2 linked regions of the Solanum lycopersicum genome follow. The protein of the gene in region 2 binds, or shares a complex with, the protein of the main gene of each other region. Links are inferred from orthologs where the notes say so. Each region holds a gene or a part of one and is shown on either strand. Other genes may lie near its edges.

Evidence for each region. The genes of interacting proteins can lie anywhere in the genome.
Region 1: mediator of RNA polymerase II transcription subunit 23 (region 2) and mediator of RNA polymerase II transcription subunit 21 share a complex: the UniProt entries of both Arabidopsis thaliana proteins name them as parts of the mediator complex. The link is inferred for Solanum lycopersicum from reciprocal best matches to the Arabidopsis thaliana genes AT1G23230 and MED21.

Annotation. Positions count from the first base shown.
Region 1 is NC_090801.1:60,838,918-60,845,247, forward strand, and holds mediator of RNA polymerase II transcription subunit 21, read right to left. Parts: upstream 3,603-6,330; coding exon 3,393-3,602; intron 2,254-3,392; coding exon 2,176-2,253; intron 2,004-2,175; coding exon 1,952-2,003; intron 1,828-1,951; coding exon of another isoform or gene 1,820-1,827; exon of another isoform or gene 1,806-1,819; coding exon 1,729-1,805; 3' UTR 1,448-1,728; downstream 1-1,447. Other genes in the region: polyadenylate-binding protein RBP45, read left to right, coding at 1-37, 128-298, 496-498; iron-sulfur cluster assembly SufBD family protein ABCI8, chloroplastic, read left to right, coding at 4,541-5,962. UniProt on the Arabidopsis thaliana protein: Component of the Mediator complex, a coactivator involved in the regulated transcription of nearly all RNA polymerase II-dependent genes.
Region 2 is NC_090804.1:17,738,738-17,744,511, forward strand, and holds part of mediator of RNA polymerase II transcription subunit 23, read right to left. Parts: coding exon 5,763-5,774; intron 4,211-5,762; coding exon 4,062-4,210; intron 1-4,061. UniProt on the Arabidopsis thaliana protein: Component of the Mediator complex, a coactivator involved in the regulated transcription of nearly all RNA polymerase II-dependent genes.

The DNA of each region.
Region 1 (6,330 bases), on a different chromosome or scaffold from region 2:
TCTTTCATGGGGTCGAAGTCCTGCAAACAAGCAGCAGGTAAGGAATGCCAAAATTATAATTTCTGTTTTCGGCACTTGCCAGTCAAATACCAATCTGAATCTTATGTTTCATCTCTGGTATGTGCAGCCTCAGCTTGATCCAAACCAATATGCTGGTTATTATGGGTATACTGCTGGATATGAAGGTTATGGTTATGCCCCCCCTGCTCAGGATCCAAATCAGTATTATGCGGGCTATGCTGGATATGGAAATTACGCACAACCTCAACAGCAGCAGCAAGTTTTGCAGCATCCTCAGGTTTGATTAACCCGTTGAGCTTATTTATTAACTAAAGCTACTTTATACCGACATCTCCATTTTGGAATAGAAATGACTGAAATTTTATGAGATAATATCTTTTTACTTGTATGGCCAAATGGGTTCTTAAACTGATAATAGTTTTTTCATAAAAAATAATGAGTTGTTTGAATACTTATCTCACTTCCTCCTTGCAGTGATATATGCTGGTGAAAGGATTTACTGAGTGCTTCCCGGCGTGATTTGTGTATTGATTTCAAAAGCGGGACATGAGGTTATCAGTTGGGATCCAGATGTGTATTTCACAATCTTAGGGTGTTGGAAACCTTTGTAGGCTATTTCATTGAGGATACAATTTATGGTTTCGATCAACTGATTGTATGCTGTTTGTTTTTTTATTTTTGCGTTGCCCTTTTATTACTTAGATATGAGATCTAGATATACTTGAAGGTCTTTGGAGAAGTGTAGGCATGTAACTGTATACTTGTGCTTTTTGGCTATCCTGGCAATGCTGAACACCCTATTTTGCTCGTTGCTCATTTTGGTTCACCTTTCAATAGCAATTCTTACTAATGTTTCCTCCAAAATAATTGCAATCGTCTGAATGATTTCCGTGATAGTTTTATTTTGATAAAAATGTCTTATGTATTGTAGTCTTCAATACGTCTCCTGCGTTAGTTTCTTCATTCATGTATTGATGCCAATTGTCATATGACGTGGTTGAGTCCTTCTACCAGTCATAGTTGGACCCACGTTCTATCTAAATTTTAGCATTCAACAAACCCCGATGGCTGTAAATTCTTCTCTTCGTTGCTGTCACGCTTACATATTAGGCAGACAAGGTTTTCTATATATTTTGTGTGGTTGCTACTTGTTTTCGGCCACGCCTCAGTTCCAGCACGACAAGAAAATATTCTGGCGATATGCAATCTAAACTCCCAAAGTACCCAGACACAGCCCAAAATGTGTCTACGAATTAAAATCATCAACTCGGTAGGGTAGTTGTGCATGCCAGCTGCCATGTTTTGGGATCACATGTTTACGAAGTCAGTCTGATAATTGCATAACTTTTGACAAGTGCTGGAGCAGAGAAACTAGCCAACTTCTAAATTGAACACGTGGCACAGAAGACACTAATATTTAAGGATGTGGAGACAAAAAAACTGCTGATTTTTGCTATTTAGGCACATTATCCCTACCTCTTTTCATTCTATAAACACAGCTCTAAACCAGATACAATAGTATACTGAATTCTTTTCTTCAGCAGTGGCCAAGAACTTAAAAAAAAAATAATGTCAGAGCATGCCTAATTATAATTAGTTAATAAATGTACCCATAACAGACATGGACACAATCAATTTGTTGTTCCTCCAGGGTATATTCCAGCAAGAATGGGCTCCTCAAGCAAACTGAAATATCTACTACCTTATTCATTCTGGCTTCTTCAAGTTCAGGCAGTTATCTGTTGCTTGGTTAAACAACTCCTGGACCTGCTTTAGCTCCTTCTCTAAATCACCAAAATCAGCAAACTGAGTCTCAGAATAAACAAAAAATTAATAATACAGACAGGAAAACGGAAATTTGGACCTTAGCCTAATCAGAACAGCTTCCACTATCTTTCAGAAAGAAAGCAAGGGAAAAACAAACTCTTACCTGCAGCTTCCAGTTGTTTTTGAAGTTCTTGGCCAACTGCATCGTTCTCAGCCTACATCACATACATACACAACCGAGTAAGACTACTAAGCCCAAAATAGACAGACTAATCTTTATTTATCCTTCTTTATTTTTTTAGTTTAAATACTGTTAAGCTATAACACATCAGAATTAGAGGATGTCAAAAAGTGAATTCCACCAATTATTCACAAAGAAGCATATACCTGGAGTTCTGCAATTCTTTTCAATTGGGCTTCTTCACTCCCATCCGATAAAGGAAGAGCAGCAACCAACACATCGAACTGCTCAAAGAAGGATAAGAAAAAGAGAAGATAGATTTAATACAATGACATTGTAGCAAAGCATACACTTTAGGATCACAATGAAAATTTGCAATTGGTCTGAATTAGAGCCACACAATCCTCAAGGCTACTCTCAAGTGTCGGCTGTGCTGCTTAAGTTTGATAGGATGCTAGATTAGACAACCTCTGATTGTGAGGCCAAGAAGAAAACAAGGGAAACATAACTGTAAACTTGAACACCTTAGAACTAATCACAGGGTTGTCCATATACATTTCATAGAAGACAGCTAAAGGGCGATAAACTAGAACTCAGTTTTCCGGTTTTGACACCAGGTTTACCCGGTGAGTCTTGGCCTAGATGTCATGGTTACCAAACCTGAGAGGCTGACATCAAGTTCTCTAGTAAAAATCCCTAGAGGCATGCAATCCTGTCCAGCTAGTAGTTGGAATTTGTCCGCCATTATGTGATTCAGTCAAGTTTTATTGAAGTAGTTGGTGATGCTAATAGCATTATTGTATTTCTCGTTAAACTAAGGACAAAAGACTAGGTATTTGAACTCAACCACACTGGTCTCAGGAATCAGGACTAAGGTCTTTGAACTCAACCACGCAGGTCTCAAGTCTGAACAAACAAAGACTTAATATCATCTGGTATAGAACTGCATGTACGCATTAGATATGATGAGCCAAGATACAACTTAGTGTTATCTTGTATAGAACTGCACAAACACATCATATATCTAAAGATTTGACGTTTCCAAAAGTAAACATACTAGTCAAAAGAAGACAAAAGAAACATTATTTTGTCCAAAAATGATTTTTTGAAGGAATGGTAAGTGCATTTGTAATACAGCACCAAGAAGGTGCAATCAACAACATTTACAGGGAACACAAAGATATACCTTCCTATTCTTAAAGGGATTCTACAAGTTCAATCACTTATTCAGGCTCATTTACAAAAAAAATGTCTACACAAAAAAGGAAACTAAACTAAATAGTTTATCTTGATCTTCCGAAAAAAGAGAAAATTCCCTATTCTCGAAGTACACGCAGATTACTTTTATACCCTGGTCTGTGGCTTGTTCATATTCGTTGATGAATAAGCAGAAAAAGTGAAGGTATGGAGTATGGAGTTTCACCTGCTTGGCAGCCTTAACAAAAGCAGCACTCATTTGCTTTGGTTGTTCTGCAACATTAGCTGAGTCTTCTGTGGGATTAGCAGGTGGAGGTTCTGGATAATTAGGTGATAGACGCACAGGAGGGGCGTCCCTCTGAAGAGTACCAAAGGTGTTGAAAGCAAGAGCTGCAATTGTATTTACTTGTTCCTGTAACTGTGATATGATATCCATCTTCCAAATCCTTCCCTTTATTGCTAACAAAAATGGTGAATTTTGAGAAAAGATCGAACAAAGGAATAGAAAACAGAGGAGAAGAACTTACCTGAAAACCCTAGAATTGGAGGTCCGGGTAGAGCCGAAGTAGATTCGATAATCTGTTACAATTGTTTTAAAATTAGACCTAAAATTAACCATTATTTCAATTAAATTTTACGAAAAATGCTCAAAAATATTTCTGAATTATCCGAATTAGCTCACATATATCTTTAAATTAAATTCTAGCCCTTCTATTAAAGTATTGAGTTATTTTTACCCTTAATTTTAACAAAGGTGTGTTAAGTGTCACCTGAACGCCACGTGGACACCATATGGATGCCACATGAGCACCAAAAAACATCATCTCCATGTAGACTCATAAATCTTAATTATTAATTTTTTTCTCATTTTCATTCATTTTACTTCTCTAAAACATAATACGATTTCCCTTTTTTTTTCTTAGACGATTTTCTCTCTTATACGATTTTCCCCAGGATTTTACAAATTTCTCTTATGAACGCCATTGAATTTCTGAGTAAATTTCGTCACTTTCTGAGTTTCACCGTTCTTATAGATAATGCACAAACACCAGTCCTAATTTGTAAAGTAACATGCACAAACACCAGTCATAACTCTTCACATTTACTTGTTTTTATTTTAAACCTTTCAACATAAAGTCTGACTTTATCATTATCAAGTGAGCGCTTAAATGACATAAAATGCAACAAAAATAATTTAGCTTTACTATTTTTTTTAATTGTTTTTTTTTTGTTGTTGTAATTTAGGCTTTGAAAAGATGCACGTGGTCAGCATACGACATCTTAGATCAGACACCACAAAAAATTAAAAAAGAAACAAATAAAATTTATGTTTGCCTTCTCATCCTGCTTCTTTCTATCTTCTAAGCATCAACTATGGCTTCTCTTCTCACCAACGGAATCTCACACTTCTGTCCTCAATCCATCGCTGAGCAGCCTAAACTCCCAAAAGGGTATAACTTTTTGCCTAATTCACCCGGCCCCAAAATCTCAAATCCAGGTAATTTCAAGATTAAAGCTGCTGATGCGAAGGCCACTGTTGAAGTTCCAGGTAAAGAATCATCTTTATCAATCTCAAATGAAGGCGACCCACTTCAGAAATTCTTGAAAAGAGACTATAAATGGGGTTTTAATGAAAATATTGAATCTTTTGCGCTGCCAAAAGGGCTTTCGGAGGATACTATTAGGTTAATTTCATCAAGAAAGAATGAGCCTGAATGGATGCTTGAGTATAGATTGAAATCGTATGAGAAATTTGTTAAAATGAAAGAGCCGAAATGGTCTGATAATCAGTACCCAGAAATTGATTTTCAGAATATTTGTTATTATTCAGAACCTAAAAAGAAACCAACTTTAGATAGTCTTGATGAGGCTGACCCTGAGCTTGTTAGGTATTTTGATAAATTGGGTATTCCTTTGAATGAAAGAAATCGTTTAGCAAATGTTGCAGTTGATGCTGTTCTTGATAGTGTTTCTATTGCTACAACTCATAGGAAGACCTTAGAGAAGTCTGGTGTGATTTTTTGTTCGATTTCTGAGGCTATTAGGGAATATCCAGATTTAGTCAGGAAGTATTTGTTTAGAGTTGTGCCCCCAGAAGACAATTTTTACGCGGCTCTTAATTCAGCTGTGTTTAGTGATGGATCATTTGTGTATATACCCAAGAACACCAAGTGTCCTATGCAAATATCTACTTATTTTAGAATAAATGCAATGGAAACTGGGCAATTCGAGAGGACTTTGATTGTTGCGGATGAAGGGAGTTTCGTTGAGTATTTAGAAGGGTGTACAGCACCTTCATATGATACAAATCAGTTACATGCTGCTGTGGTGGAATTGTATTGCCATGAAGGTGCAGAGATTAAGTACTCAACCGTGCAGAATTGGTACGCTGGAGATGAGGAAGGGAGAGGAGGGATTTATAATTTCGTTACAAAGAGAGGAATATGTGCTGGGGCTAGATCGAAGATATCATGGACACAAGTTGAGACTGGCTCAGCTATTACCTGGAAGTATCCAAGTGTTGTATTAGAGGGTGATGAATCAGTTGGTGAATTCTATTCTGTGGCATTGACCAACAACTATCAGCAGGCAGATACAGGAACAAAGATGGTACACAAAGGGAAGAATACGAGGAGTAGGATTATTTCAAAGGGTATTTCTGCAGGAAATTCTAGAAATTGTTACAGAGGACTAGTTCAGGTCTTATCAAGTGCAGAGAATGCTCGGAATTCCTCCCAGTGTGATTCAATGCTCATCGGTGATAAAGCTGCAGCCAACACTTATCCATATATTCAGGTTAGTAGCTCTCTGTGAATTTTAATTTTGCTTTCTGTCTCCGCATGATAAAATAATTATTGATGTAACTTTAGCTCTCTACTTATAGAAGTATAATAATTAGTTTTGACTTATGGCCTTATTACTCTTTAGGTGGAAAACATGATCTTTCTGTGATCACAGTGTACTTCACTGTATTCTGTGGTCTCTTGATTTATGCATGATGCTGTTGTCATTAAGTTCCAATCTTTCATATAAAATTTAGTTACCTGATCAAAGAAAAAATCATTAAGTTCCAATCTTTGAAGAAAAATTTATTTACCTGATCAAAGAAAAAATCATTAAGTTCCAATCTTTGATGAAAATTTTATTTACCTGATCAAAAAAGG
Region 2 (5,774 bases):
AATTAGCTACCAAACAACCACTAATTGTTTTGATGATTTATTTTTGAATTTTTTGATGATTTTGAATCAGCTCAAATGTTATTAAGCCAATCATGTGATTTTATATCATCTAAAAATGACCAAACTGCATAGATGTAAAAGCCTGCTTTGGCATCAAACTCGTCTTATAAGACAGTGATAATTTTGAAAATCAGATAGTTCCTTGAGAATTTACCTTTAAACCCTTTTATCCTTATGCATTTGGACTATATATTTAAAAGACCCAGTAAGAGAGAACAAGTCAGATAATTATTAATGACAAAAACACTCATGTATCTTCAATCATTTTGAAAACTAGGGTTCCTTAGGACTCATTTTAACCCTGTTAATCCTTCACACTCTTCTACTATTAGCCTGCTAAATATAAAAGACCTTGGAAGTGCATAAAGTTTGTACTCAGAAAACAGTATCATACGTGGATTGTAATTCTATGGATGACTTCAAACTGAGCTATCCTTGAAGTAAACTCTTTTCAATAAAAGATGTGTCTAGTTTTCCGATGTCAGCAACTAAACATATCTGAAAGAGTGATAGTCTTAAAGTATGTGATATTGTCGTGGCTATAGAGGAAAACATTTGCAAAAATCTCAAGGGAGCTGAACAAACTGTACTACAAAAACTAGAAAATTTATCACTTGTTCATCTCATTGAACTAGAAATAGTGGAAGAATGTGTATCCTGAGAAGTAGTTTTCTGAAGAAGTCTTTCCGCATCTTATCAAATTTCTAAAGGGAGAAGAATACATAAGATATGGACATTCAGAGTCCTCATGTGTCCCATATGTGTCTGATGTATGTGAGATGACATGAATTTATGTACCCCAAAAATTTACAGTATTAAATGAATCGTTAGACGGACAGTGAACGCGTAATACCCTGAATCACGAACAAGTTTCAAATGATATAAAGATCAAGTTCAAGGCAACAAACATGTGTTACAGGATGTTTGGCGGAACCAGGGTCTAAACAAAAGGGGAAGCCGGGTGCACCACGCCTGGGTTTGGGGAAGACCGAACCACATTAAGTCCATTGTGAACACCCTTACCAACCATTACTGCGAGAGTGAGTTTCCATGGCTTGAACTTGTGACCCTTTGATCACACAACGACAACATCTACAAAAACAGGATGTCAAATAAAAGTAAAACCAAGTTGCTAGTACTACTGTGGGCCTCCTATGACATGGACATATTAAACTTCGTACTTCAGGAAGATAGAGGCAGAAAGTTCATATTGATAAAGCAGTGGAAGAAATTCCCATGCCGTAGAAGATGCAGAAAAAAGCTGTCAGTGAGCCAAGTACAGGTAGTTTCTTCTGCGACGCATACCACGGCACAAAGGGTTTTGCATACTTGTAATGGTCTCCTCATTTAGGTTCAAAAACTGCATTTTCATATTGGCTCACGTTTATGGAAAAAAAGCCACATAGTATACAGCTACTTGAAAAGATTAAATTCGGACTCAGTAATCTACCAAGAAGATTTTAGCAGACAGAAGGAAATAGACAAATTTTCATGAGTAAACTTGAATTTAGTCTTGAATTTTGAACCTGTAGCCTAAGAACTGAAGTTAGTTGTGTAAATAATCATGGGCAGCAAAGGGTATGGGAACCATAGTGTTGAATTCACGATGTTTATTATGTTTCCTTGCTAGAATATGGAAGGAACTACTATTGATGATTAGCAATAGCTTTGGTAGTAGAAATCAAGGGATTAGGTGTGCAGGCACCTAACCTTCTTAGACTTGTTCTCAAAGGCATGATATTGTAGAGAATAACAAAAGAAAATATAATTGGAAAAACCTTCTGCTAGCCAAGATCGTTAATTATGGTAGGAAGATTCCACTGAAGAGAGGAAGCTATGAAAGGAGAAGGAAGAATTAAGATAGTAGAACTTTGTTATGGATGAAGACTTTTTGAATTGGCACGAATTGCTTCGAGGTGGATATTTTTCTTTTGGGTTAACTACAAAGGACTGCCACCCCTATTTATACTTGTGTAGGGATGCTCTAGATACATCTACAAGAATAATCATGACAACTTAATCTTCTAACTATTTAACAAGAATCTGGAACTTCCAAACATATCGTAAAGATATGTATCCAAGACACTACATTAGTTCATTCTGGAAGCTTTCTTAAAAATATGTTCAGAAATGCAAGAAAGTTGTTGGATAGGTCAGAAGCTGCTGGAACTTCTCCGGAAAACGAAAAGTAATTGGAACTTGGCAGCAAGCAGATAGGAAGTGCTTGGAAGAGTAGGGCCATCTCAACGAAGTAGGAACAGATCAAAACAAGTTTCAAATTCAATAGTTTGTGCATTAGTAATTTTAGAATCATATTTACTCGACCACCATGAGGCCAAGCAGTAATTCCAATGGCAGCCGCAAAACACCACTACCAGCATAGAAACAACAACAATCATCACAAAAACATGCAGAGCAGAGAAGTGGAGTGTGGGGGCAAAAAGAAGCAAAAACTAGTGGGGAAGTGAGTGGAACATTGGGTATAGCAAGTGGGTCAACAGATTCTTGCAGAGAATATGTCGATTAGATCTCATAAATTCAAGTTCGTATGAGAAGACGGTGACTGAAAATTAACTCTTGCTGGCGTAGACTGTCGAAAGTTGAGGATTTAATCTAGTTGGAATTAGTTTTTCAATTCTTGCTTGAGTTTCAGAGTGAGCGTTCATGGTGGTTGAGGCCTGATAATAATGAATGTTCTAGATAAAGAAGATGACTTAAGAAAATGGGTTTATTTGTGTGTAATGGGTAAACTGAGTGGGTTAAATGGGTAATGGGTAAATTGAGTGGGTTAAATGGGTAATGGGTAAATTGGGTGGGTTAAATGGGTATGGGTGGATATTGAATTTTGGGTTAAATAATTAATTAAATCAGGTTGAGCGGTAGGATTGCGACAGGTGTACTAAATAAGGTTTCCGTTAGTGGGAGGGGTAAATGTGCACTGATTTTCGGACGGTAGGGTATTAATGAACGAAAAGTATGACGAAGGGTATTTATATACTATTAACGATAGTTCGGGGTTATATTTGTCCTTTTTCCCTTAAAAGAATTTGGAGTTTGCTACACCACTTGGGTGTAAATGTGTGTGATAATGTTATTCAAGGACTTGATAGAACAGTGATCACATATTTAAGAGAAGTGGTAACAATAAGCATGTGAATAATTTAAATATAACTAGAGGAATTTTTATGCATTTTCCAATGATCAGAGCTCAAAAGATGTGTGTTGCAGCAAATTATGTTTAATTGGATCGATTCTCCAAGATAAATGTCAAGTGGGTTTTGTTGTACTAGTCAACCAAGTTAGCCAGAGCCTCAGAAAACTTCAAGGATGACACTAAAAGTGTCACTATAAATTTTTCAGCACCGTGTGTACTTCTACACAAAGATGTAACAAAGCACCATCTCCATGTCAATTCAGACAAGATAGTAGGTTATTATCTTGGGTATCTAAATGCAATTCTAATACATCAAACAGATGAAGTTGAATCTCAATTGATTCGATCAGGAGAATCATATAAATCTGTCTGATCCAGTATCAGAAATACATTTGAACAAAAAAATGTAGAACTTTTATACTGATGATAAAACATTGAAAACTGAATCTGAGCTAAAAAGTTCATTTTGATCCAATTGAAGTTGTATCAAGTCAAACATGGGTGTATTTATTTACTCACTTTTACATAAAATAAATGTTAGTATAACAATGGTAATAGAAGCTATGCATAAGCATTGGACATAACCAAAGAGATACTTGGTTTGACGATTAAAATTTCGACATTCACCAACTATAACGAACTTTTTTATTGCACATGATAATGTCCAAGATGTTAAACAACATGTAATACCACAAGTGGGGTATGGGAGGTTCGAGTTTACACAGACCTTACCCCTACCTTAAGAGGTAAAGAGGTTGTTTCTGATAGACCTCCGGCTGAAGTATAAACATTTCAAACAACCAAACAAAAGAAAACACTGAAGAACAAAAAATGTTCACTTTGTTACCTCTCCTTCCATGACAGATAATTTCCAAGAGCTTTCTGCAATTCCACACGCTTGAAAGGTCCAGGGGAAAGCCAATGCTCAGGCGGGCCACGATTTAAGAGATAAACTTTCACTCTTTGTTGGAGCTCCTTACTGTCAAGTAAGTTAATCTGTTTGGAATTTTAACAAAATAAGTCACTATTCCAATAAATTGCAAATAACTACAACACTTACTTGAAAGTGATCACGGTGAGAAGGAAAGAGAAAATGAGAGAGAGCAAAGCTTGATTATTCTCTAAGCCATTGGAGTTCTAATAGAAAAGTGTGTGTTCTAAGAAGGGAAATAGAATTAAAAACATAATTACAGGAATAAATCAAGCTATAGTACATTTACATGATCTTAGCATATTCTAGAATATAAGGGATTCTAAGAGCATTCTTAATGTGAATGAAAAGCCCTTACAATCATGGTGAGGTTCATAATTAGAATGACCGCATATGCAGGAAGCGGAACATCCCATGGGAAACTGCAAACAGAAATGTTATGCAAACTGAACATAAATAAACTATTGTTTTCACTCTATAACACTTGAGATTTTTTCAGTCTTCTTTTTCTCATTTTTTGGATCATAACTCAAGTGAATTTCTCTTATTCATGCCATAATGAAGGAGAAACGGATATTAACACAGCAATTCTCTGCAGAAGTAAAATATCACTCTCTGGATACTGTAACGCCATTCCTTTTGTTCTCATTCCATAGTATTCGTCTTTCTATCATACTCAGAAAGGAGACGGAACATAACTTGTTTCAATAGGTCAGACAATAATTTGCAGTTGTTCTACCACTGTAGCATGAACCATGAAAATGGATTAGATTTTCCCTTTCTATAAATGGAAAGACAGACGCCAATCATTAGGAGAAATAATAGTGTTGAGCTAAGACTTCAAATAATTAGCAAAATGACTACATTCATTAACCTATGGGTGGAACTATGACGTTAGTGGGGCAGAAAGCTCAAGCTGTTGATGTCAACAGCAATAATAACCACTCACGAATAGTATGGACCCACTGCGAGCCAATAAACCAGATAGGCCTGGTATTATGCATTATCATGCATGATATAGAGAAATGAGATTCCATAAGCTTGGCATCTCATATTAATCAAATTCTTCAGAAAATTATTTATTTTTAGTAAAGGAATGAATATACTTTTGTTTCATTGAAATTCAGAGCCAGAGATCCCCCTCCCGCCTCATTTAGTTCTTCTCCGCAGTTCTTAATTGTGGAAGATAAACTTTCATACCCAAAATAAGCTGATTGGAATATAGTAACTGTGCAAGAAGAGTTACAGTTTGATTAGCTGAACTAGATAGTAAGAAATCATAGCCAAAGTGAAGATGATATCTTCTTCAAGCAAGCTAGTATTACCAGTTTGTCCTCATAAATGATAGCTTAAGAATGGAAGTATAAATTCTTATTGAAAAGGAATGAAACCAAACCCAAATCTAGAATAGAAAGCAAAGCATGACACCAAATACCATTTCCCCAGAATACAAACTTAGTATTGAGAGCAGAGAAAAAGTCAAAGAATACTATAATATAAACAAATAATGTAAAAACATCAACACAAGAATTGATGATGATATGCTTAGACCACTGTTACCAACAGACAGATGAATTAAGACAAGAAACTAATTGAGAAAGATCATAGACAACATACTACAATGCGCAA